3 linked regions of the Alligator mississippiensis genome follow. The main gene of each other region encodes a partner of the protein of the gene in region 2 in a complex. Links are inferred from orthologs where the notes say so. Each region holds a gene or a part of one and is shown on either strand. Other genes may lie near its edges.

Evidence for each region.
Region 1: PPP4R1 (region 2) and PPP4R3A share a complex: the UniProt entries of both Homo sapiens proteins name them as parts of the PP4 complex. The link is inferred for Alligator mississippiensis from reciprocal best matches to the Homo sapiens genes PPP4R1 and PPP4R3A.
Region 3: PPP4R1 (region 2) and PPP4R2 share a complex: the UniProt entries of both Homo sapiens proteins name them as parts of the PP4 complex. The link is inferred for Alligator mississippiensis from reciprocal best matches to the Homo sapiens genes PPP4R1 and PPP4R2.

The regions. Positions count from the first base shown.
Region 1 is NC_081825.1:274,845,455-274,852,997, reverse strand, and holds the start of PPP4R3A (serine/threonine-protein phosphatase 4 regulatory subunit 3A), read left to right. Parts: upstream 1-4,474; 5' UTR 4,475-5,135; coding exon 5,136-5,277; intron 5,278-7,543. UniProt on the Homo sapiens protein: Regulatory subunit of serine/threonine-protein phosphatase 4. May regulate the activity of PPP4C at centrosomal microtubule organizing centers.
Region 2 is NC_081826.1:95,278,711-95,286,795, forward strand, and holds the start of PPP4R1 (serine/threonine-protein phosphatase 4 regulatory subunit 1), read right to left. Parts: upstream 3,060-8,085; 5' UTR 2,837-3,059; coding exon 2,830-2,836; intron 2,695-2,829; coding exon 2,650-2,694; intron 2,507-2,649; exon of another isoform or gene 2,439-2,506; intron 1-2,438. UniProt on the Homo sapiens protein: Regulatory subunit of serine/threonine-protein phosphatase 4. May play a role in regulation of cell division in renal glomeruli. The PPP4C-PPP4R1 PP4 complex may play a role in dephosphorylation and regulation of HDAC3.
Region 3 is NC_081835.1:7,973,846-7,981,118, reverse strand, and holds the start of PPP4R2 (serine/threonine-protein phosphatase 4 regulatory subunit 2), read right to left. Parts: upstream 3,016-7,273; 5' UTR 2,927-3,015; coding exon 2,893-2,926; intron 2,795-2,892; coding exon 2,713-2,794; intron 1-2,712. UniProt on the Homo sapiens protein: Regulatory subunit of serine/threonine-protein phosphatase 4 (PP4). May regulate the activity of PPP4C at centrosomal microtubule organizing centers.

The sequences.
Region 1 (7,543 bases), on a different chromosome or scaffold from region 2:
CCCCTGGGGCTGACAGATGCCATCCAGCAACCACCAAGGGGGATGTCTCACGAGGTCAATTACCCCTGGATTGGGTTAGCCCGAAAATTGGGGAGTCACCAAAGTCTGCCAGAGAGGGATAAAAGGCAGCAAAGAATGATCCCCCAATGGCGCCCTTTCTGACCTGACCAGCACCCTGCCTGCCCAGCCAGAAGGACCAGCCAGCAACCCCCTTCTGAAGCAACATCACACTGAAAGAACCCTCGACTGGCCATCGACAGCAGACTCTAGCACTTGGGGATAGGTATATCTTGACATCGGTGCTTAGTGTTCATAGCTAGCTACTGTGAGTAGGTGTGCATGAATGTGTGTGTCTGAGGGGATCAGCCCCAAGGTTTATGATCTGACTTTTGCATCCGTCTAATAAACTAGAATTCTATGATGATCCTGTGAGTTGGTCCTTTGTCGCCAACAGCTCTACCCCAAAGTTTAGTGTCATCGGCGAACCTGGCCAGTCCACTTCTGACACCAGTGTCCACATCGTTAATAAAGACATTAAAGAGAACAGGTCAAAGAATGGAGCCTTTAGGGACACCACTGGTCACAGAGTGCCATAATGATTCACTTCGTCAACTACCACTCTCTGGGTCCAGCCTCAGAGCCAATTCCCCAGCCATTGGACTGTGATGTAGCTGAGGCCACAGTTGGTCAATTTTTCTATGAAGAGATTATGGGACACCAGATCAAAGGCTTTTTTAAAGCCTTACATCAGGGGTGTCCAACCTCTTTGAATGTGGGGCCCGATCATGAACTTTTTATCACCTAGTGGGCTGGTGAGCCATATTCAAAAACCTCACAGGAAGCGGTATCACATCAGGAAGTGATGTCATGTGACCTTTGACATCAATTAAGTTGCAGGAAGTGACAATGAAATGGGTCTAACCAGTTCAAAACTCTCCCTCTATAGCATCCACCTCTGCCACTGTTTGGGACAGGATACTGAGCTAGATGGACCATTGGGCTGGACAAGCATGGCACTTTTTATGCTCTTCTGTTCTTTGGCTGAGCTTCCAAAATATGGCTGAGATTTGTAAAAAGGGGTAGATAGACATGTTACAAAGTTGTCATAAAAGATTTGAAGCCCTCTAAATTCCATTCATTTTAATGGAAGTTGACCTTTTGATTCAGCTTTGAAAATCTCAGCCCAAGGTGCCAACCAAATAAGTCAAAATATATTTTGCATTTCTATGCAGTGCATCTATGTGGGGCTCTCCAAGCATTTTACAAACATTATATTAACCTCAGGATATCCCTGTTTTTCAGAAGAAATGTGATGGTGAGGACATTTTGGGAACATCTCTCACTCTCTGTGTGATCTGCTTCTACTATCCTTGGACCACCCTAGAAGGGCCCTCACTACCTCATTTCCAGTTCAAAGCAGGTAAAAGTGTAAGTGGGTAGGAAGGGTTTATATTTTGGCAGCAGGTTTGAGTGGCTTGAAGCTAGTGAAGATGTACCCACAATTAGTCACTGACCAGAGTGGGAATACAGTTGTCCTCACTTATTAACATGGCTCCAAGGCCCGGCACTGTTTGTGCCTACATGTTGCTCTCATGTCCTCTTGCTTTCCTAAATCTCATGAGAGTAGAGGATTCCCATCATGCCTCCTGGACTGCCGTCACCCAATAGCTGTCCTAGTTTTAAGGTTGTGCTTCTGACTCTTTCATGGCTTCTTTTAGGGTGCACACTTAGAACTCTGCCTTTTCCTTCCCACCCATTTTGCTGAATTGTGATTATTCCTATGGGGCATGAATTTAGTCCAGTGGCTATGATTCTGCTTTCTCATACAGAGGTAATGACTCTCACAAAGCATGGCATATTTTAGTAGGATAAAAACATTTTGAAGGCCATACAGAAAACAATAAGCAGTTTTTACTCACATGAGCTTACCAGGTATCAACCACCTGCTACTTGGGTTCCTGGCAGATACAGACACAAGTTTATTAGCACATTGTTCCAGAGTGAGTCTCTGTGCCATAGCCTACATCAAGTCTCAGATCTAGGGAGCCTGACCCCTCCCCAGCCATAGGCTGGTCATGTAATACCAATCTGCTGGCCGGTGCAGACCCGGCTGGGCTCCTCCCATCCTCAGAAGCATGTGGGAAGCCAGCTTCAGCTGCATGCCACTTTTCCTGGCTAGTGCTGACCCAGCTGGGTCCGTCCCATCTGGAGCAGCACACGGCTGAAGTCGGCTTCTCACAAGCTGCTGGGGCTGGGAGGAGGCCGGCCAGGTCTGCACTGGCCAGCAGAAGCGGTGGCGGAGCTGTGTGCCACTTGGGACTGACTTGGTGCAGGCAGGGGGAAAATGCAGCTGAGCCCCTGCTGCTCCGGCCGGGCTCATCCCATCCTGAGAGGCACACGGCTCTGCCACCACTTCTGCTGGCCGGTGCAGACCCGGCTGGGCTCCTCCCGTCCCCAGCAACATGTGGGAAGCCGGCTTCAGCTGCATGCTGCTTTTCCTGGCTAGTGCAGACCCAGCCGGGTCCATCCCATGCAGAGTATGTTGGACAAGCCTGCCTTAAGTCACCCTTGTTTTAGCAGAGTTTTTCAGATTGAAGCCCATGGGACTGTTTTCTTCTTCCTTCTTTCTAATTCTAAATGTAGTTTTAGCCAAATATGACACAGCTAATAAAAAGCTGCTTGGAGCAAGGGAAAAGAATGGCTAGAGACCACCCCTGCTTACCTAATATGCTCTCAGATGCACTTTGCTATGCTTGCAGTGACTGCCAAAATATTTTTAAATGCCCAACTACAGTGTCAAGCATACAAAAGAGACCTTAAAACTTTCACTTAAGTTGGCTGATTTTGTATAACAAGGGAAGACCATTCATACAAAGTAGTATCTCCCTACCATTCCCCAAAGTAGTATCACACTATGTGGCCAGAAGACAGGAGGACTTTCCTATGTCTCGGGCCCAAACCTGTGCTTTTCAAAAACAAACAAACACAACAAACTCCAACCAACCAACCAACCAACAAACACTTTCAGACCATTGCATACAGCAGTCAAGGAAACAGTTGCATACAGTTTCAGCCATGCCCTGGCTGAAGTCCCACTCTTCAGAGTTTGTGCCGGTGGCAAGGTATGATTTTACCATCTTTGTTAAATGTTCTCATTTTCATTAGGTAGATAAATACATATTCACAGCCAGTTGTCTCATGGTCACTGCTGAGGCCCAGAAGTAGGTCCCAAATAAATGCCCACAGTTGAACACAACTAAACTGTGGAGGAGTTCAGAATTGGTTATTGATTTTGTGATTAGCCACAATCTCTCTTAGTGGGGTATAGCAAAAAATTGAAGATGGGGAAAGAAAAGAGTTAGCTGGAGAGAGACCTTACCAGGGTGGGGTTGTAGCACACTAGGCTTAGCAAAATTTATTCTTATAAAAAAATGTCAATGTCCACTGAACAAAAAAATCAAAGATTTAATCCTCTGAATTAAGTGCCTTTTGCAATGGACCTCTGTATGCAGCGGAAGGATAGGAAGGTCCCAGAGACACCAGTGAGGTTGCCTACTTTTTCAATTTTGGTGGAGTCTTTAAGGAAAAATCTGTCAAGCATATGCTCTGATGTTGGCAGCAGCAGCAGCTTCTGTTTGTTACTGCAGCTGGTGAGACGCATCTCAGTCTGTTCAGTATAGTCCAGAAGCCGTGTAACTTTTGCACTGCTTAGCCATGAATGAGCCTAATAGAAAGGATGCTTTTGCAGAAGGATTACTTCATCTGCATTGGACAAAACAGAAGCAACCCAACATCTGAAGCTGGGCCTTAAGCATGATCTATCTATGTAAGCGGGAGGAAGGAAGGGAAAAAAGAAGCTTCTTAGAGCACAGGCTTCTTTGCCAGCTGGGCGTCTGCTAGGACTGCCTGACCACAACCTCAGCCCCCCACTCTGCTCCTACACAGGCAGTTTCAGGAGCACCAAGGCATGGTTTTGCCATCTCCGGTTGGCTCCTTCCCCTCAGATGAGCTGTAGGCCTGTCTCTGCCACTCTGGGGGCAGATCTTGGTACCCCCAAGCTGCTCCTTACGGCTGCAGTTCCTGGCTCTAGCAGCTTGCTATTGACCCACAAGGGCAGCTCTGGAAACACAACCCAGGTGTTTTCTCACCCCGAGCAGCTTCGTTCCCAGAGTACACTTCAAAGCCCTGACCCACCGGGCGGCTGGGAGCCACCTGGGCCGTGCCCCCTATGCCATCCCACCTGGCCGAGCCCCCACGTGCCAGAGGTGGCCACGCGAGGCAGCCCTGCGGCTGAGGGGAAAGCGCCGCGAGGTGGGGCTGCCCCGGCCTGGCACTGCGGGCTGGGTGTGCACGGCTGGGGGGCTGAGGTGAGGCGCTGCCCCGGCACGTGCCGCAGCGCCGACACCTCCCGCCCGCGAGTGCGCTGCCCCTTTAAGCGGCGACGGCCCGTGCCGCCGCTGGCTGGGAGACCCCGCGCTGTAGTGAGCGGTGAGACCAAGATGGCGGCCGCGCAGTGACTGAGGCGGAGACGGACAGGCCGCGCCGCGCCCCCGCCCGCCGACAGGACCGGATCGGACCCGACCTGACCCGACAGGACCGGACGGGAGGGGGCCGGGGCCGGGGCCGGGTCGGGCCGCCCGCCCGCAACGCAGCGAGCCCGCGGAGCCAGGCCGCAGCAGCAGTAGCCGCCGCCGGCGGAGGAAGGAGAACATGGCGGCGGAGCCGGGCCAGGAGTGAAGCCGCCGCCTGCGAGCGGAGCCCATGGGGCGGGCTGGGCGCTGAGGCCGCCGCCGCCGGGCCGAGCAGGGGGAGAGGCCGCGCCGGCCCCGCGCTGCGAGCGGGGCAGGAGCGAGCGAGCGAGCGGCGGGGCCGTGGCCGTGGCCGGGGCCGGGCAGCTCCGCACAATAGAGCCGGGCCGCCGCCGATGTCCCTCTGACGCCACTCGTGCTCCCTGCCCTTGACCGGGCTGCGCCCCCTCGGCCCGCCCGGGCCATGCGAGCCGCGGCCTGAGGAGCGCCGGCCGCTGCGTGGGGCCCTGCCCGCTGCCGCCGCCGCCGCCTCCCGTGCGGGCCGCCCCCTCCTCCTGTCTCTCCAGGTGTCCCAGGCCGGGCGGCTGCGGCGCGGCCGGCGGCAGGATGACTGACACCCGGCGGAGGGTGAAGGTTTACACGCTGAACGAGGACCGGCAGTGGGATGACCGGGGCACCGGGCATGTGTCCTCTGGCTACGTGGAGAGGCTGAAGGGCATGTCCCTGCTTGTCAGGGCAGAGAGCGATGGTAAGTGTCTGAGGTTGCGGCGCTTCCTTGCTGAAAGCAGCTGGGGCTTGGCTTTCTGTAGTGAGCCTGGCCCCTGCCCTTCATCTGGGATCCCTGAACCAGCCAGGTAACAGCTCTGGGTCACTCCTGTTAGGCGCGGGGATAGGGCTGGAGATTGGCGCCTTGCACAAACATTGTAGTACGCGTGGTGTTTACACTGGATACGCGGGCACTGGCCTGCCTGCCAAATACGCTCCGTTCTGGTTGCAGGCTGCAAACCAGGCTGTCTTCTGCCTTTGCCTGTGGGATTGGCTTTGTGGGAAATGTTTCCCTGGATCCTTTCTGAAAATGATGACAGGCTTCCCCTGATGGAAGGAACTGTTCAGAGTTTTATTAGTGTCTTTATATCTGTTCTGTAGGCTTAAAATGCAAACGCGCATCTTGTGCCAGATCCACACATGCTGTAGCATTGCTGGTTTCAAGGCAGTACAAAAACACCTTTTGGGTATCTTCCCCCCCCCCCCCCCCTTGGACTAGCCACAGCGCTCAACACTCACCAAAACTGATTTTGAGTTGCTGCATAATGCTTCATTTTAAGGGAATTTATGAATTTATTACCCATTTGCCAGGCACTCCAAACATGTTTCTCTAGAGCACTGTGTGTAGGTTTTATGTAAGAATTATCCATGGCTATTGGATCAACAAGTTAATGGTTGTTGTGGTTACTACAGATTTTATTTTAAAATACATCTTGCTTCATGTTAATAGTGGTACGGAGCAGCAAAGAAGATAGATTTAACTGGTTAAACCTCAAGTTTATAGTTGTGAGAGCCTTCTGTCCTGTGGACCATCTTGCAGACTGCTGTTGGTTGCAGGCAGCAACCAAACTGAAATTAAAGCTAGACAACTTCAGTGAGGTCACAGATTTCAGCCAGTGGAGGGAAAGGTCCTGAGAACCTTCACTATTATGCTAACTCATGACATCCTCTAGTGAAGGACTTTAAACTTAGGAAACTAATAATCAAAACCCTTCCTGATTGATTCAGTTAATGATAATTTAGCAGTTTAGAGAATAACAAACTACACAAAAGCTGGATGTATATATATAAAATAGGTTTTTACCAAATCATTTCAAGACTGTCCTCTATTAGCCCTTATGAAATAAGACAGACATTCAAGATTGGAACAGACTTCCACTGTTGAATCTCAGTACCAGAGTTGAGAGGTAGAGGGAGGAAACCATTAGTGGTGTATCTAAAACCTGGCTTACTTTTGTGTTTATTTAGCATCTTTATAATGGATATAATTATAGCACATTCTGTCTCCATGACTGCTGTTGAAGACCCTTAATAAATAAGTAGAATAAAACTGAAACGCCTCACAAAGGAAACTGAAACATAGAGTTAAATATATAAAATGGAGTGGGCTGAATTTGAAGCGTCAACAGAGCCTGTTTTAAAGTATTGTCTTTGCGTTGATTTCAGTAGAATTTGTGTGTTGTCTCAAGGCAGAATTGAACCTAAATAACATTCAAGTTGGTAGTTTTTTTGCTGTAATTTTAAAGTGGGAGTGAGATGAAGTATTTTAAATAATGTTTTAATGTTTATTTTAGCATGACTAAATACCCATTTATATACGTTATATTTTCAAAAAAATATGTAACTGTCCAACTGAAAGTGTTCAAACTTGTTGCTTTCAGTTACAGTAGTCTTATTTAATGAGATGTCACACCTGTTGTACCTTTTACAGTATATGCAGTTTGTTATTGGGTAATGAAATCCTCTGCACAAAGTGTTTGTGGCTAATACCAGTAGGACTTTGGTAACTGTTACTTTTTTTCCCACAGTTTACCATATCAGACAAGACCAGAACTTTACAAATGCATCTTCTTTCCAAAAATAAGCTACTGGAAATTGGGGTGGAAAATGGAGGGAGCAGAGGGTCCAGTCCTCTGGGAGCTGAACTGGTCTTCCCTTCCCTTCTTGTTGACCTGTCCAGTAAGCCAAACTGGCTGACCATTAATTCTCAAGCCGGGTGGGCAGCCAGCAGTACCTGCTATGTCCCACAGCTAGGGGGTTAACAGAGCAGTCATAGCTTTTTGCTTCTCCTTCCCCTGTCACTGCAGGTGTCTGTTTTCATTGGGGAAAAAAATACCCTATGTGTATTTTCAAGGAAAGATTTTTCTTTTTCTTTCCATTTCTACCCCTTCTCTTTCTCCCCCTCACCCACCCCATTCATCTCAAGAAAAGGTGTGTCCTGTTCCCGGGAGGGCATGTGATACCCAAGA
Region 2 (8,085 bases):
TCTTCACAACCTACAACCAAGTATGTAGATGACTTTGATTTTTACCATAATTTTTTCCTTTCCATAATGTTCCATCTATTTTTGGGAGGCTAAGAACAAAGAATCAGACTGTGTGTGTGTAGGGCGGCTATAACATATATATGTTCTATCAGTAATCTCCTTTATTTATGTTCTGACTTTTACGTTCAAGGAAAATGTTACAAGGAAGACTAAGAGATATCTTTGCCCATTCATATAGAGCTGTTACACAAATTAAAGATATGCTATAAATCTGAAATCTGGTCAAACTGAATGAAAAGATAGTTAAGAAACCTTACAAGAGATAACTCTCTCATGCTAGTCCACCATGAAAAATCTGAACACAGGATACAAGGCTGAAACACTGGATCACTATCACTGAAGTGGGGGAATGCTGCTTAAAAGTGTTTGTTTTCACTTGAATTTTGACCAATTTAACAGATGAACTGCTATTAGTTTTAGATTCCTTAAAGACTATTTCAAACCAAACTAAAGCCACAATCTGCTCACAGGGAGACACCCCTTCGACCTGTCAATGGCTGGAAACAGACATCCTCTTTGGAGCACAGCTAATCCACTTCAGAGACATCTAACAGACACTGTCAGACCTGTCGCTGTCCACAGTCCATATCCTGCCACTCCCAGGGCTTCAAGGACCCAATCCTGGAAGAAACGAGCACTGAGTTCGGGTATGCATTTACAAGGGGGGAAGCCCCAACTTGTAAATTCGCCCCCATGTTGGGATGCAGGGGAGCCCTTCAGGAGGGGATTCCCCCAGCTTGTGTCTGCAAAGCATGGGGGGGAGAATTTCCCTGGTGTTCCCTCTTCTGGTTGCAGGGAGCACCCCAACCCAGGGGCACCAACAAAAAAAGGTACCAGGCACCAAGGCCATGTGCAAGAAGAGGGCAGAACTCCTAGAAATTCCCCTCTCCACATCTGCAGAGCTAGGGGCATAATACCCCCACTATAATGTGCAGGTAGGAGAAGCCCTTCACACTTGCACACATGCATCAGAGGTTATTCTGCCAGCCCACAGTCTCCTGCCATAAGTAAACAGATGTCACGCAAAAAGGCAGCACAAATTGTTAGTACCCTTGTTGGTGCCACAAAATTTAAGCACTTTTGGCCCAACAAAGGGCTATGATGTCTGTTCACTCAGTTCTCGTACCTCCATAAAGAATTTTATGGCGGCACATAGGCTGCAAACAGACACTGACTATCAGTCTCCAGATAGGAGCACAGGCATGCCTCAGCAGAGTGCAGGACTGACATCTAAAACAGAAGCCACATAAAAGAGCCATGTTTCTTCATCCCTACCTTATAGTTAGCATTTGATATCACCTTTGTTCTGTTTCCAGCTCTCCTCTATAGCTAGAATTTCAGAATACTTATTTATACGATGAGGTACTTTCTGTCACATCTAATACCACAAACTACCCGTCACTGCACAGAGTTTCTTTACCTAAAACGAACACCCTTTCTGTTGCTAATACAGAATTCTACATCCATCTTTCTACTATACTGCCACAACGCCAGATTCATTCTCCCTCATTGCAAGCATTTTCATTAACAAAGAAGAAAGCAATTTAAAGGGGGAAAAAAACCCTTCAGGGAGTAAAAAAAACACATCTTGGATGAGGTCACAGACACAACAGGCTTTCCTAGGGTTTCTCCTTGCTTGCTCCCTAGATCCTTTACACAAAGGTCCTCAGTTTCTGAATGGGGTCAGTCCTCTGCAAGTCTTAGCCTCATCCTAATCTCACCACGTCCTCATGCTGGCGTCAGGCTGTTACGGAGAACTGAATAACGCGGTTATCCTGGGCAAGTGCACGGGAAACAGACTCCAGCTTCCTCAGAGTTTAAGAGCCCAAGGAGCCTCATGCAACCAGCACAACCCACATGCCCAGCTGGTGAATCCCAAACACCCTGGCTCCTGCGGGGCAAGAAGGGGGGGGGGGGGGCAGCCACACCCACACAAACGGGGAGGGGCATGGGGGACACACGCCCATGCACACACACAGGGAGGGGTGTGGGGGACACGTGCACACATGCACGCACACACAGGTGTAGGGGACACGTGCGCACACGCAGAGGGGCATAGGGGACACGTGTATGCATACAGAGGAGACACACACCCATGCACACATACAGGAAGGGGCATAGGGGACACGCGTGCACACGCACGCACACACATGGAGACATAGGGGACACGTGCACACACAAACACAGAGGGGGTGTAGGGGACGTGCACACATGGGGAGGGGCGTAAGGGACACACCGCACACAAGGGGAGGCATGGGGACAGAGGGGCAGCTTCGGATGTACACACAGATATACACAGAGACGGGGAGCAGTTTAACCCACGGACACAGGGAGCAGCTTAAGACAGGCAGGGAGCAATGCAGGACATGGACACATACCACAACCTGGAGAGCGACACCCGTGCCCGCTGCTTCGCCAGGGTCGAGCCCTGCCCCTGCCCCGCCCGCACTCGTCCTCCGCCCCGCGCGCTTCCTCCGCGGCTGTCCGCGCCCCGCGCCCCGCGCTTCCGGCCCGCCCGCGGCTGCGTGCGTGCCTGCGTGCAGGGCGGGGCCGAAGCAGGCGCCGGGGTAAAGCCCGGGCCGTACTCACATGCGTCCACCTCCTCCTGCGCGTCCTCCTGCAGCAGCGACACATCTGCGGGGAGACGCGCACAATGTAGTGCCCGCCCGCGCTGCCCCCGTCCTCCCTCAGCCCCGCCCCACCCCGCCCGGCCTGGCCCGGCCCCCCAGGGCTCCCGGCTCTCCGAGGGGGGAGGGGGCCGGCACCTACCCGCCATCTTGCTGCGGCCCCCGCGGGACTCCGGCTGCCTCTCAGCAGCCGCGGCGGCGGCAGGGGGGGAGGGGCGGCCTTGCGAGCCTGCGGCTCTGTCTCCAGCTCCGGGCCCGGGCGGCGCCGGCGGGTGTCCCCGAGGGAGCCCCGAGCTCAGCCAGCTGCGGGGAGGGAGGGAAGGAGCGAGGGGGCTGGGCCGGACACGCTGCCCCCGCCTCCGCCTGGGAGCGGCGCACGGCGCTGCCGGCCCTCCCCGCCCCCGCCGGAGCCGCCTCCACCCCACCTCGCGGCGCCAACCGCCTCCCCGGCACCAACGTTCCCCCGCCCCCGGCGCCGTGTCGGCCCCGCTCGCCTCAGCCCGGCCCCCCGCGCCTGGTACTGCGCCCCTCTGCCGGCACTGGCCCTCCCTGCGCCCCGCGTTGGCACGGGGCTGGCTCCCACCCCCCTCCATCCCAGTGCCTCCCTGCCTCTCCCGCGGTGATGAGCAGGGATCCTGGTTTTCTCTCGTTTAAAAAAATTCCCACATTTTCTGATTAAAAAAAACAACTAAATTCTCCTTTTTCCCTTATTAAAATTAAACACAGGCACACACACATATATAATATGTATGTATTAAATATCACATTATATTATACATATACACACACACACACACACAGAGTACATACTTCCCGCCTGCCTGTGGCGCCACGGGACTGATTGCATGGGATCGTAGTATCTACTGTGTGTGTGTGTGTGCGTGTATAGTGGTTCACTTTTTCATCTAATGTGATACATAAAATATGTACATACATAAAATGTTATGTATCACATTTTTCCGTGATTAAAATGAAACACCACTAATATGCACACATATTAGTGGTGTTTCATTTTAATCACAGAAAAATGTGATAATATGATTGTCGCAGGGCACCTCGGTGCCCCTGCTCCTAGAGTGGAGAAACTGCCAGGGAGCAAGTGAGCGCGCCCTGGCCTGACATAACGAGCCCAGCTGAGGCTGCTCAGGTAATGAGCGCAGCTGCAGGTTGCCGGAGCAACCAAGCGGAGCCAGCTGCCTGTAGGGGGCAGGGCCTGGCCCTTATAAAGCTCAGGGCTGAGGCCAGGCTGGCAGTTCTCTGCCAGCAGCCAGGGAGGCAGGAGCTCCCTCAGCCGAGATATGGGAAGGAGCCTAAGTCGCAAGTACAGCTCATGATAGCCCTGGAGGTTTGAGCTATGATGAGGAGTTATGGCCATGCGGCTTGCATTTGTGTTACAGCCTAGGGGCTTGTGGTTTTGCTTTGTGTTTGTGTTATTACACCCGGAGGCTTGGGTGAGGCTGTAGGGGTTGGAGGAGGCCTCAACTATAGGGACCCCAGAGAGTGTGGGGTGCCCTAGCGCCAAGAGGGCGCATTATCTACACAGCGCCAGGGAAGGCGCAGCTCGCACGCCAGTATATGAGCAACTGGCGGCGAGGAGCGCGGCCAGTAGGTCGCGGGCGCGACCTGTAGGTTGCAGACGGGGACCTAGACCCCGGATTGCGTGTGGGGGAACATAGCCCCCTGTATAGCGCCAGGGAAGGCGCAGCTTGCACGCCACTGCACGAGCAGCTGGTGGCGAGGAGCGCGGCCAGTGGGTTGTGGGCGCAACCCGTAGGTTGCGGACGGGGACCAAGACCCTGGATTGCGTGTGGGGGAGCATAGCCCCCGGCCCCAGGAAAGGGGCGGTATTACTGAGGAGCCCAGTGTGGGCGTGGCGAGCCCCCAGAGAGGGGGAATGCCCTTGTACATTATTGAGTAGCCCAGTGCGGGCGTGGCGAGCCCCGGAGAGGGGGAACGCCATTGGGTTTTATTGAGTAGCCCAGTGTGGGCGCACGGGTATAGCGAGCCCGACCGCAGGCTAGTGCGGCAATACCCCTCAGACCAAGGCAGTGTGCTGCGGTTGCCCCTGAGAGGACAGGGAGTAGCAGCGCAGGGAGCCAGAGTCAGGGAGGGTGTCCGTGCAGTTGGCCCATAGGACCGGAGGCCCGCTAGAAAGTCCTGAAGCGGAACCACACTGGCAGGGGAGGCCCAGAGTGGGGAGGCCCAGAGTGGGCTAGACGGGAGTCCCAGCAAGAGGCTGGGCATGAGACAGGGAGCCCAGAGTGGGCCACATTAGAGAGGAGGCCTGGGAAGCGGGCATATAGACCGAACAACGTCCTTTACGTCTGCGAGGCTTGGGGCGTGGTATCAGGGGAGGTAGGAGCCACGCATAGCCCATAAGGCTAGGGCACTTGGGTAGCGCCCATTGTACGGGGAGACCCACGAGGGGTCCAGGAGCTGACAGGCCCGAGGTAACACAAGGCAGCCTCCCTATTACATATATTCCATCAAGACGTGGTGGGCGAGAATGGAGGGTGCCCTCGGGCTGGAGTAGCGCAGTGAGAGGGCCTCACAGAGATCACGGCCCTCCGTGAGGACCCGAGGGAGAGGGAGAGAGGGAGGGTTTTTTGTTTTAATCACAGAAAAATGTGGATTGGGGGGGGGGGGGGGGGTTGAGTCAGAAAATTTGGGATTTTTTTTTTTACTGGAGAAAACCAGAATCCCTGGTGATGAGGCTGAAGCTGGTTGGTTCTAGGGAACCAACTTCCCATCTCATCCCAAGACACAGGGTTTGGGGAGGTGGTGACCAGGGGGACTCACTAGGCTGGGGAAGCAGCGCTGTGCATTTGCAGTGCACTTGCGCCATGCTCCCGGGTGGATCCCGCCATTGTGATGTCACTCCCCAAGGAGCCAGCTCCTGGAGGTGATGGTTCCAAGGCTGGTGTCACTGTGCCATAGGGTGGGGTGGTCAGCTGATTTTTTTTTTTTTTTTTTTTTTTTTTTTTTCCCCTCTCCCCATAATCTAGAGCTTCTGGTGCCAATTTAAAAGCCACCTTGAAATGTCTTCAGTGCTGTTCCACTTTAGAGCAATTTGGGCTTGTGGGATTGCGGAAGCCCGGTGTCTAAACTGGTGGCTCTCAACCTTTTATAGTTTTGACGTGCCCCTCAGAAAATGCCAGCTCTTAGTTTTCACTCATTTTTTTGACTGCAGAAAAACAATAAAGCTATTTTTCTGTTGCAAAGAACTCAGAAAGCCCATAGCAGGTTGGAACGGGTTTAACACTGTGGATTCCTATTTGAAATCTCTGGGTTTATCTTGTGAATTGTGTTTGTGCAATTAACAGAAGTAATAACATTGTGTAGCACGCTTGAAAGGATATCAAGGCATGCCATTGTACCCTGACTGAGAATCACCGGTATAACGTCTAAACAACTTTTAATTCAAAAGGTTAAGAAGAGATTGGTTACCAAGCATGTCATGCCTGAGGCTTATTTCTGAACCTTTTTCCAACCCATTACAAAAGTATAATAAGGTATACCAAAACACTATGCATCCATTACCTTTTTATAATTCTTATAAAATTAATTTGCGTATTTTAATTTAAGCTTCTATAATTTGGAATTGCACTAAGAGCATTTGCTTTCGAAATTGGGCATTAGTAGTGTTTATTTTTTAATCATGGCATTTTTATGTCACTTTGGGGGGAAGTAGTCTACAGGGTATTTAGGAAATTTAATTTTTCTATAATGTATGTTTAAATAGGGGAGCTGCTATTTATGCAAGGAAACAATGTAGAATGACTGTTTTGAGAGATTTGTAATATGTTGTCCTGATTTTGGTACTCCTGTTAAGAGTACTGTTTCTGTTGCTATGTTCTGGATATACAATACAATGGGATGTTTTTACATTGCAAAGTTAATTACATTTTCAGTTTTTTTGCAACAAGTTACTTCAATAGGTATATGGCTCCTCATGTGCAACCAGCAGTAGATGTATTATTTATAGCCACTGTGACAAATTTATGCAACTAAGAGGGCAGGTAAGTGGGATATGATGTTGGTCTACATACCTTTTGCCTATTGGAAGTCCATGGGGTTTGCTGCATTTGACCTTTCATATAGCTGGAAGATCAAGGGCCCTCTTGAGCTTGTCCGTGACTCCTGAGAGGGTAGCATGGAGACAGGGGGAACAAACCACCAAGTTTGTCCAAAGGTTCTGAATGATTTAAGAGCTATGATGGATTTGATGCATCAGAATCTGACTGGAACCAAAGAGAATCGAAGTTTAGAGGGGGCCTTGGTTCCATATTATCACCAGGGAAGTGCCACAAAATACAGAATTAATGGGAGGCAACCATTTGAAATTGTAAAAAAGCAGAATGATGTGACCTAGCGTGGAGAAGCCTTGGAGGGTGTTCCCAAAATTGCAGCAATTCATTTTGGGGGCACTGTTTTCTCACATAATTCCCCCCAAATTGGATCAGTGTAGATTTGGGTACCCCATGATAGCCTGTCACAACAGTGTCCACTTCTGTAAATGAAAATACTGTATAACCAAAAATCTTGCTTCAGTAACACATGGAAAAGAGAGGAGGAGAAAAACTCACTTTTATCTGGAAATGTGCCACCATATGCTGCCAGCTTCTGCTTCCTGAATATGGATGTCCAGATGGCCCTATTTCTAAACTTTCTGGCTGCGATGAATGGGATGTCAGTCTAGATCTTCAGTCTTTCAAGGCCTGATCCACAGTCCACTTAAATATCTGATAACACTCCCACTGATCTCAATGGGCTCTGGCTCCAAATAAGGAAAGGAACAGAAAACTTAATGTGTATGACACATAAAATGGGTCTTGAGATATGTGATGAATTGCCAGTTTCAAAGATATTATTACTACAGAATGCCCTCCAGGGGGTGATTGCTTGGGACCACCTGGATTTTGTGTGGTCTCAGAGTGTATCCCAAAACCAGACCAGGTGTGGCCTCTAAAGCATGGGGGGAGCCCTGTCTCTCTCCCATTCTGAGACACTCCTGCTGACTTTTTGTTCCTTACCCTCCCATTTATGTCCATAACCCTGACTCAGAAACCTAGCTCCTGAGAGAGGGACTTTACCTCTTGTTGGGCAGACCAAATGCAACCCAAAGTTTATTTCCCTGTTTCCCCTAGACATCTGTAATCCTCACCTTTGTTAAAATGTCAGCAAAGCTATTTGAGTCTCTGTAGATGGATGCAATGGATGTGTCTTCTTTCATGTAGACCAAAAACTCCAGCTTCACTGTCTCTATAACCCATTTCCCCCACCTCCCCCCACCCTTCTCCCCTATGTTAGCTACAGGGAAACAGAGGCATGCAACACTGTTACAATACGAATACAGTTAACACAGAAATATTACAATGAACACCATAGTCCATCACAA
Region 3 (7,273 bases), on a different chromosome or scaffold from region 2:
AGCCAATGTGTGACAAAAAACAATTACGCAACTTTACAACACTTAATGCAGACTGGATTTTTGAATCGCACAGATAATATCTTACAAATAGCATGATATTAGGAAACAACTTTTAGTCAGTGCTGTCATAATTCTTGTTTAGCAAGTCTAAGAAGTTATTTTACATGGCTCCATGCTGCCTAAGTTAAAGATAGGCTGTCATCTTACGCATGCTTTAAGCGTATGTTTAACTCTGCTTATGTGAACAGTCTCAGACATAAATGAGTAAAATTACACTTGTCTCACTGTTTACAGGATCCAGCATCTACAGCAAAATGTGGAGAACAAAACCAAGTTAATACTTTTATTTCTTGGCTTTGCTGTACCTAAAAAGTATTTTAGATACTAGCACAGTTTCACACGCACAATCCAAGGAAGTCATCCAGGTGAACAGTACCATCAAATCAAATGGCAACTGCCCTTATTTGCATGAAACGGTGACTGCAGGCTATAAAATAGCGTGATATCATTTCTCTGAATTTTGAGATCTTTTTGATTAACTTGTGTTTGCAAACTGAAATTAAATATATATTAGCTAAATAAATCATTTGGCAGATCAAATACGATTGCCACAAAAGAACTGTTTGGGGTTTTTTGGGTTTGGGTTTTTTTGGGGGGGAGTGAGGGGAGGGAATCTTATTATGTAAGCCACAGTCACTCACTCTGAAACTAGAAATCTGACCTAAGACAAGACTGAAAGCAAAAATTATTTTGCTTTGTTCCACTGTACGTAAATCTGTCTTCCAACATCAAGCTAGTCTGGTTCCCATAAAGCCAAAGATGGCTGCTACCTGTTCACCTGATTCCAATAATTTTGCACTAATATTACACTTTCTAAAAATGGAAATATGTATAAATAGTTGCTGAAGTCAAATGCTCAATCTTCTGAAAAGAAATCTTAAGGCAGTTTCCTTTAATTTAAAAAAAAGAAGAGTACTTAACTTATCAGGAATCAATGTTTATAAAATTCACACACATTTAAAAACAATTTTGCAACAACATTTTCATAATGGAATGTAAAAATCTAGAACTCTTGGTTCAGAGATGATACCTTTTATTAGACCAATTGAGAAATTGCAACAAAGATTTTTTTTTTTTTTTTTTTTTGCAATTTCTCAGTTGGTCTAATAAAAGGTATCATTTCTGAAGCAAGAATTCTAGATTTTTGCATTTCTTTTAGTCTCAGACCAACACGGTTACCAAATCCATCCCTGAAACATTTTCATACTGGAGCACTTAGTGACAGCTCCTTTCCACTAGAAAGGCTTAGGCCTACATTCTACACACGTCTCCTAGTCTTGTGATAATATATTTTACCAAACAGATGATGATTTTCTATTTTAAAGATAACACGCGTTTTCTCTAAATTAAAATATGCTATAAGTGAACTAAACGAAGTAGCAGATACATAATCTAGATTTTGATGGCTCATGGGAACAAAACTGAGTGTAATGATAGAGACAGACTATGTGCATTCCCATAATTTGCCTTGTTTGTGGACAAAGGAAAACACCAGAGACTGGCTGCATTTTTAGCAATGTGTCACTTTTCTTAAAAATAGCTTAGGACAATTGAAGTATCTGAGGCTTAAAAAAAACCAAAACAAAAAACCCCAAAACAGGCAAAATAGATAATGCACATTCTAAGAATGAATAGAAACAAAATGTTCATCAAGTCTGAAAGACGTTTAGGTTCTTATGCAACATCAAGGTCTTTATTTGTATAATTTAATAGGAAGTTTATCCACATATTTCCAAAAGGGCGATGCAAACAAACACTAACAGTACAGTTACAATGCATCACCCTGCTACCATCATTAGCATTTACTTAACAAGCAGCTCCTATACAACTTGTTATGCTTGGATTGTTTCAGGAGAGAGGCACAGGCAAGAAAAACAAAAACCTCCAGGACAATTTCAGAAAAAAAAAAGAAAAAAAGCAGAAATTAGCCTATCCAAAGAGGAAACTGTTGTATGCAAAACTAGCGTTTCACCTAAAAACAATACGTATAAAGAGCTAGTGGGCACACATACGAGCGTTAAGCTGGGGCTTTTTCTGCTGAGCTGACGCCTTTGGCTCAAAGAGCAAAGTACACACATCTCAAAACTTCGGGTTTTCCTTCGAGGCCGCCGATTTGAGTTACATAAAGCAAGAACAAAAGAGCCAGATGTCTTTTAAAGCTAGATACGCTCTATAAAAACCCGGACAAAGCCAAAACGCCGCTCGAGCCCGGACCCCGGCGCTAGGCCTCATAAAGCCAGGAGGCAGCCCGGGAGCCAGAAAGTGAGCGCCTGGCCGGCCGGGCGCCGGGGCGAAGCCTTGCCCCTTCCTGCCAAATTGTGAGACGACAAGGAAGTCGCGGCGGAGCAGCCCGGCTCCCTCGCAGCCCCCTTCCCGGGGGGGAGGGAAGCTTGAAGCAAAACCCTAGAAGAGGGCACGCCGACCGCCCCTAAAGCGGCTGCTTGGCCCCCAGGAGCTGTGAGCTGGCCACGGTGTGCCCGTGGGGAGCAGCCGTGGGCTGGCGGGACACACCAGGAAGCCCACGGAGACCGGGGGGGGGGGGGGGAATGAACGCCCTGAGGAAGTTTGTCCCTCGGCGGCCGCCGTCCACGCGCTTGACAGGCCCTGAGGGGACGCCTCCCCCCCCCCCCGCGACCCCCGCCCGCCACTCACAGCGTCTCGCCGGTCTTGGCCACATGGCAGAGCAGCTGGTCCAGCACCGGGCACGCCTCCTTCTTGCCCCGCTTCTCGAAGTCTGCGGCGCGGCCGGGAGGAGACAGAAACACACGGTGAGAGCCCGGCCCGGCCGCGTCGTCCCTCCTCCCCCACCCCGGGGCGCTCCCTCAGCCCCACCTTTGAGCGCCTCCTGCAGCCGCTCGAGGTCCATGGTCCGCCCGCGTCCCCCCCCCCGGCTCGCCGCCGCCGCCGCAGCGCACACCCAGCCCCGGGCTCAGCGGCCTCCCAACATGGCGCCGGGCCGCCGCCGCCGCCGTGCGCGCGCCCGGCCCCGCCCCGCCCCCGCCGCCGCCGCGCTGAGGGGCGGGGCTACGTCTCCGGGGCCCTCGCGCGCGGCTGGGGCGGGGCTTGGGGCGGGGCTGCCCCGCCCACCTCGCGCGTCTCCTCGAGGGGGCGGGGCCTCCATTGTCCGTGGGGCGGGGCCTGCTCCCTCCCTCGCAGGGACGCCGGGGGCTCGGGCCGGCACTGGGTGTGCGCAGGGGCACGCGGGAATGCGAGACACACGGGCTCGCTTCCTACGTCCGCGAATGCATCGTCCGAAATACATCCCCAAATACACCCCGGAATATACCCCAAATACATTCCCCAATGCATCCCCAAAATACACAAATACACCCCCAAATACGTCCTTGAATACCCCCCCAAATGCAGCCCTGAATGCATCCTCAAATACATCCCCTAAATACACAACTACACCCCCGAAACAAATATACCCCAAATACATCCTCAAATGTACCCCCAAATGCATCCCCAAATACACCCCAATACGTCCTCGAATATACCCCCAAATACATGAATACACCCCCAAATGCAGCCCTGAATGCATCCCCCAAATACACAAATACACCTGCAAAACAAATATACCCCAAATATATCCCCAAATGCATCCCCAAATACATCCCCTAAATACAAATACACCCCTGAAACAAATATACCCCAAATACATCCTCAAATGTACCCCCAAATGCATCCCCAAATACATCCCCAAATACACCCCTGAATGCACCCCCCAAATACATCCCCGAGCACACCCCTGAATACATCCCCAGGCTCACTTCAGCATTTGGCCTCGGGGAGGCTGAGCGCGGCGCACTTCAGGGCTGTTTGAAATAAGGACATTGACACGAGTTTAAAAAACAAAACAAAAACCCTATTTTCACATATTTCCTTTCCTGCTAAGGGAGCGGGCTAGATGCTTCCAGTCTGGGGTCCCAGAGAGCGCCCTCTCTGGCTGGCACCATCACGTGAAGGGAAGGGGGCAGGCCGGCAGCCCCCATGGCAGAAGGCATCCCACCTGGTTTGCAACTGGGGAACAGCAACAGGCTTCCAAAAGCAGCTCAGGAAACACCTCAATAAGCCTTAAACCAGCCACTGTGTTTCCCCTATGTGCAAAAGCCTACACAGGGCAAACGCTGTGGACCTCTGCCCTCTCCTCCCAGCTTCCCTGGCTGGGGTCCCAGAACCAGCAAGGACCTGAACGGGGCAAAGAGCAAGGCCTGTGATGAAGCAGAGGCCTGAGGTTTAGGAGAATCCAAGTCCCCGGGACCCGCAGGTTTCAGGCGGCCAATTGCAAAGCGGAGACTTATCCGCTGCGAATGTTTCTGTAGAATGAAAGCGCCCATGACGATCGTTTCTGGAAGGACATGAAAATGCTCGTAAAAGTTAAGCTGTAAATCCAAATATTGCCGCCAACTGTTATTCTAGGCATATGGGAGCTGCACATACGCGGTAATTTACTATTAGGGGAAAATCCCGATATAGGCCTGGATCACGTCCCAGTCTTCTGAGGTCTGTGCCTCCAGGCAATCCTGCACGCACACACTTCTGTTCTTTTTTGTAGTGGGGAGAACTGGAGTGGGATGACAGGGGCAGCTGCCCCAACCCCAGCTTGTGGGGCAGGGTGGAAAACAACAGTTCCCGCCAATCATGTTAGCAATGTGGCAACTACTGGAAGTTGCCATAGCCCCTGCATGTTGCAGCTGCCCTGGGCGCTCAGCTGCATGGTTAGGTTGCTGCTATACAGGGGAGGAGGGTCACCTGCCTCTGTTGCATCAGCACTCCCTATTGCCCCTTCCCCCTTTCTGAACCCGCTTTGAAGCCCATGCTCTGGCAGGATGTGGACTCTGTACATAGTACACACACAAAAAAGAATAGGTGGGCTTAGGCCTGGCCAGAACTGATGCAGTGTCCAGACTTCAGTCCCGTGCAGAGCTCCTGTAAAAGATGATAAAAGAAAAGCCTGTAAAAGACTGCACAGTCTAATGCAAAGTGGACAACGTTGTAGAGAAATGCCAGTAGAGCTACACTGCAGAGGAGCTAGTGCGGTAGCATAGGGGATTGTCCAGGTTGTATCAGCTAGCCTCTTAGCTTATTTTATAAGAGCAAGCAAATTTAATCCTCCTGGCAGAATAAAAGGGAATTTATGACTATGGAGTCCTCCCATTCTCCTTGCGTGTTTGCCCCTGGAGAAGATAATCCAAGCTGTGGAGCAGCAATTCCAAAACTAGTGATTGCGACCCCAAATGCAGTTCCAGCATTTAAAGAGTTGGGTTATAAGCCCCACAAATATTCAATTATGGCAATTAAATTCATGCTGGAAACCAGGTTAAGAGCTGACCAGAAGTGTGGTTGTGACATAAAAGGCCAGAAACTGATGGTGTAGAGCTTAGCAGTATCTTTAGACATGATTTTCCTATGGAGAAAATCTGAAGATTTATTTTAGAATCAAGTTGTTTCTACAACCGAGAGCCTGGGTTAAAACAGAAAAAAATAAACTTGTTTCCGAGATACAAGGAGCTAGCGTTGAAACTATAGCAATATATCACTTTTCTAGTTTAAAGCATGTTCTAGACAATGAAGAACAGTAAGTATTTCTTTAAACTGCATTGTCTTCAGTCCTACAACCAAACAGAATTCATAACAATTTAGTTGGTAACAGAATGCTATAGCCTCAAATGCAGGTTTATTAAATATAGGTACTCACTTAACGTCGTCTGGTTAACGTTGTTTCGTTATTACGTCACTGATCTATTAGAGAACTTACTCGTTTAAAGTCGTGCAATGTTCAGTTATAATGTTGTTTGGCTGCCGCCTGCTAGTAGGTAACTACTGTGACATAATTGGATTCGCTTAACATGGTTTCTCTTAAAGTCGCATTTTTCAAGAATGTAACTACAATGTTAAGCGAGGAGTAGCTGTATTTCATTTCTGGGTGGAAGAATGCTATAAACTGGGATTGTGAAAAGTTACATTTGTCTTTTTGAAACTGGGAAACAAATTCTGGAGGTGAATGAAGAATTTTCTGTGTTGACTTTTCTCATTTAAAGACAAGATTTAATGCAAGATTTCTATGGTACCTGCATATGGAGACTGATCACTTTACATACATTTTAAATTAGTAAATTATACTATCAATTGCCCTTGCTCTGTAACAAGGATACTGTTACAAGGATACATTTTGGGGTAATGAAAGCTATCAGTGGCCACAGTTTGTCCTGTCTGCAGGATTTGACTGCTAGGAAAAGCCCATTTATACTTCTCTCACCCCAGTTCTATTTTCTGACTTCAAAGCAAGCTGATTTCTGACTTCCTCTCCAAGGGATATTTGAAAAAAATATCCCTTGGAGAGGAAAAGAAACAGGTCACACACACATCAGTTTCTTAGTCCTCTCCTACTTTGTTGCCCTCACCATATTCAGAGGTATCTGAATATAAGAAATCCCCATTTCAACTGGGATTGTCAGAAAAAAGACCTCTGCTTCTAAAGGTAGCAGAGCTTTCAGCTACTAAACAAGCAGCTTACTCACCCTGTTTCATACCCATCTTCCACTTTTATACCTGGTCAGAGCGGGCATAAAAGGCACAGAGATCAAATTATTAGCATTTTACCCTTTGCACAAGTGACTTTATAGAAAGGATAGTGAAGAACTGGGTTTCCTGTCATTGCAACTTGAAAAAGCATTCTATGCATTAAAATTAAACACACAATTAACAGTTGCAGCATCAGGTCCATTGCTGCCTCAGCCACATAGGGAATACCAAAGCTTTGAAAGTCAGGCAGAACTCCAAACATTGATTATAAATATATGTGACTTGGCACCAGTAGAAAATAAGGCATCAGGGCTTGCTGCTAGGACTATTCATTACACTACAGATTATGCATATGAATAAGGACTTGCCTGCATTCATTCGTGCCACGTACTCTGTAGCAAGTGTTCACATTAGAGTTAGAGCAGAGTAGTTAATGTAGTGTATGCTGATATTTTAATATGTGCCACCTCCTCTGGTGTGCAGACATACTTGTTTGCAGGATCAGGACCTACCGTCTGCACAGGAAAGTTGTTTTTTTTCAATATTATCTCAGGCATTCATTTAAAATAACAGTTAAACCAGTATAATTTCCACAATCTGTGTGGACAGGCTTATTCCAGTTGAAAAGTGATTTTTTCTAATTTCGATTGTGATGCATGGATATGTTATGAGCAAGATAAATGAAAAG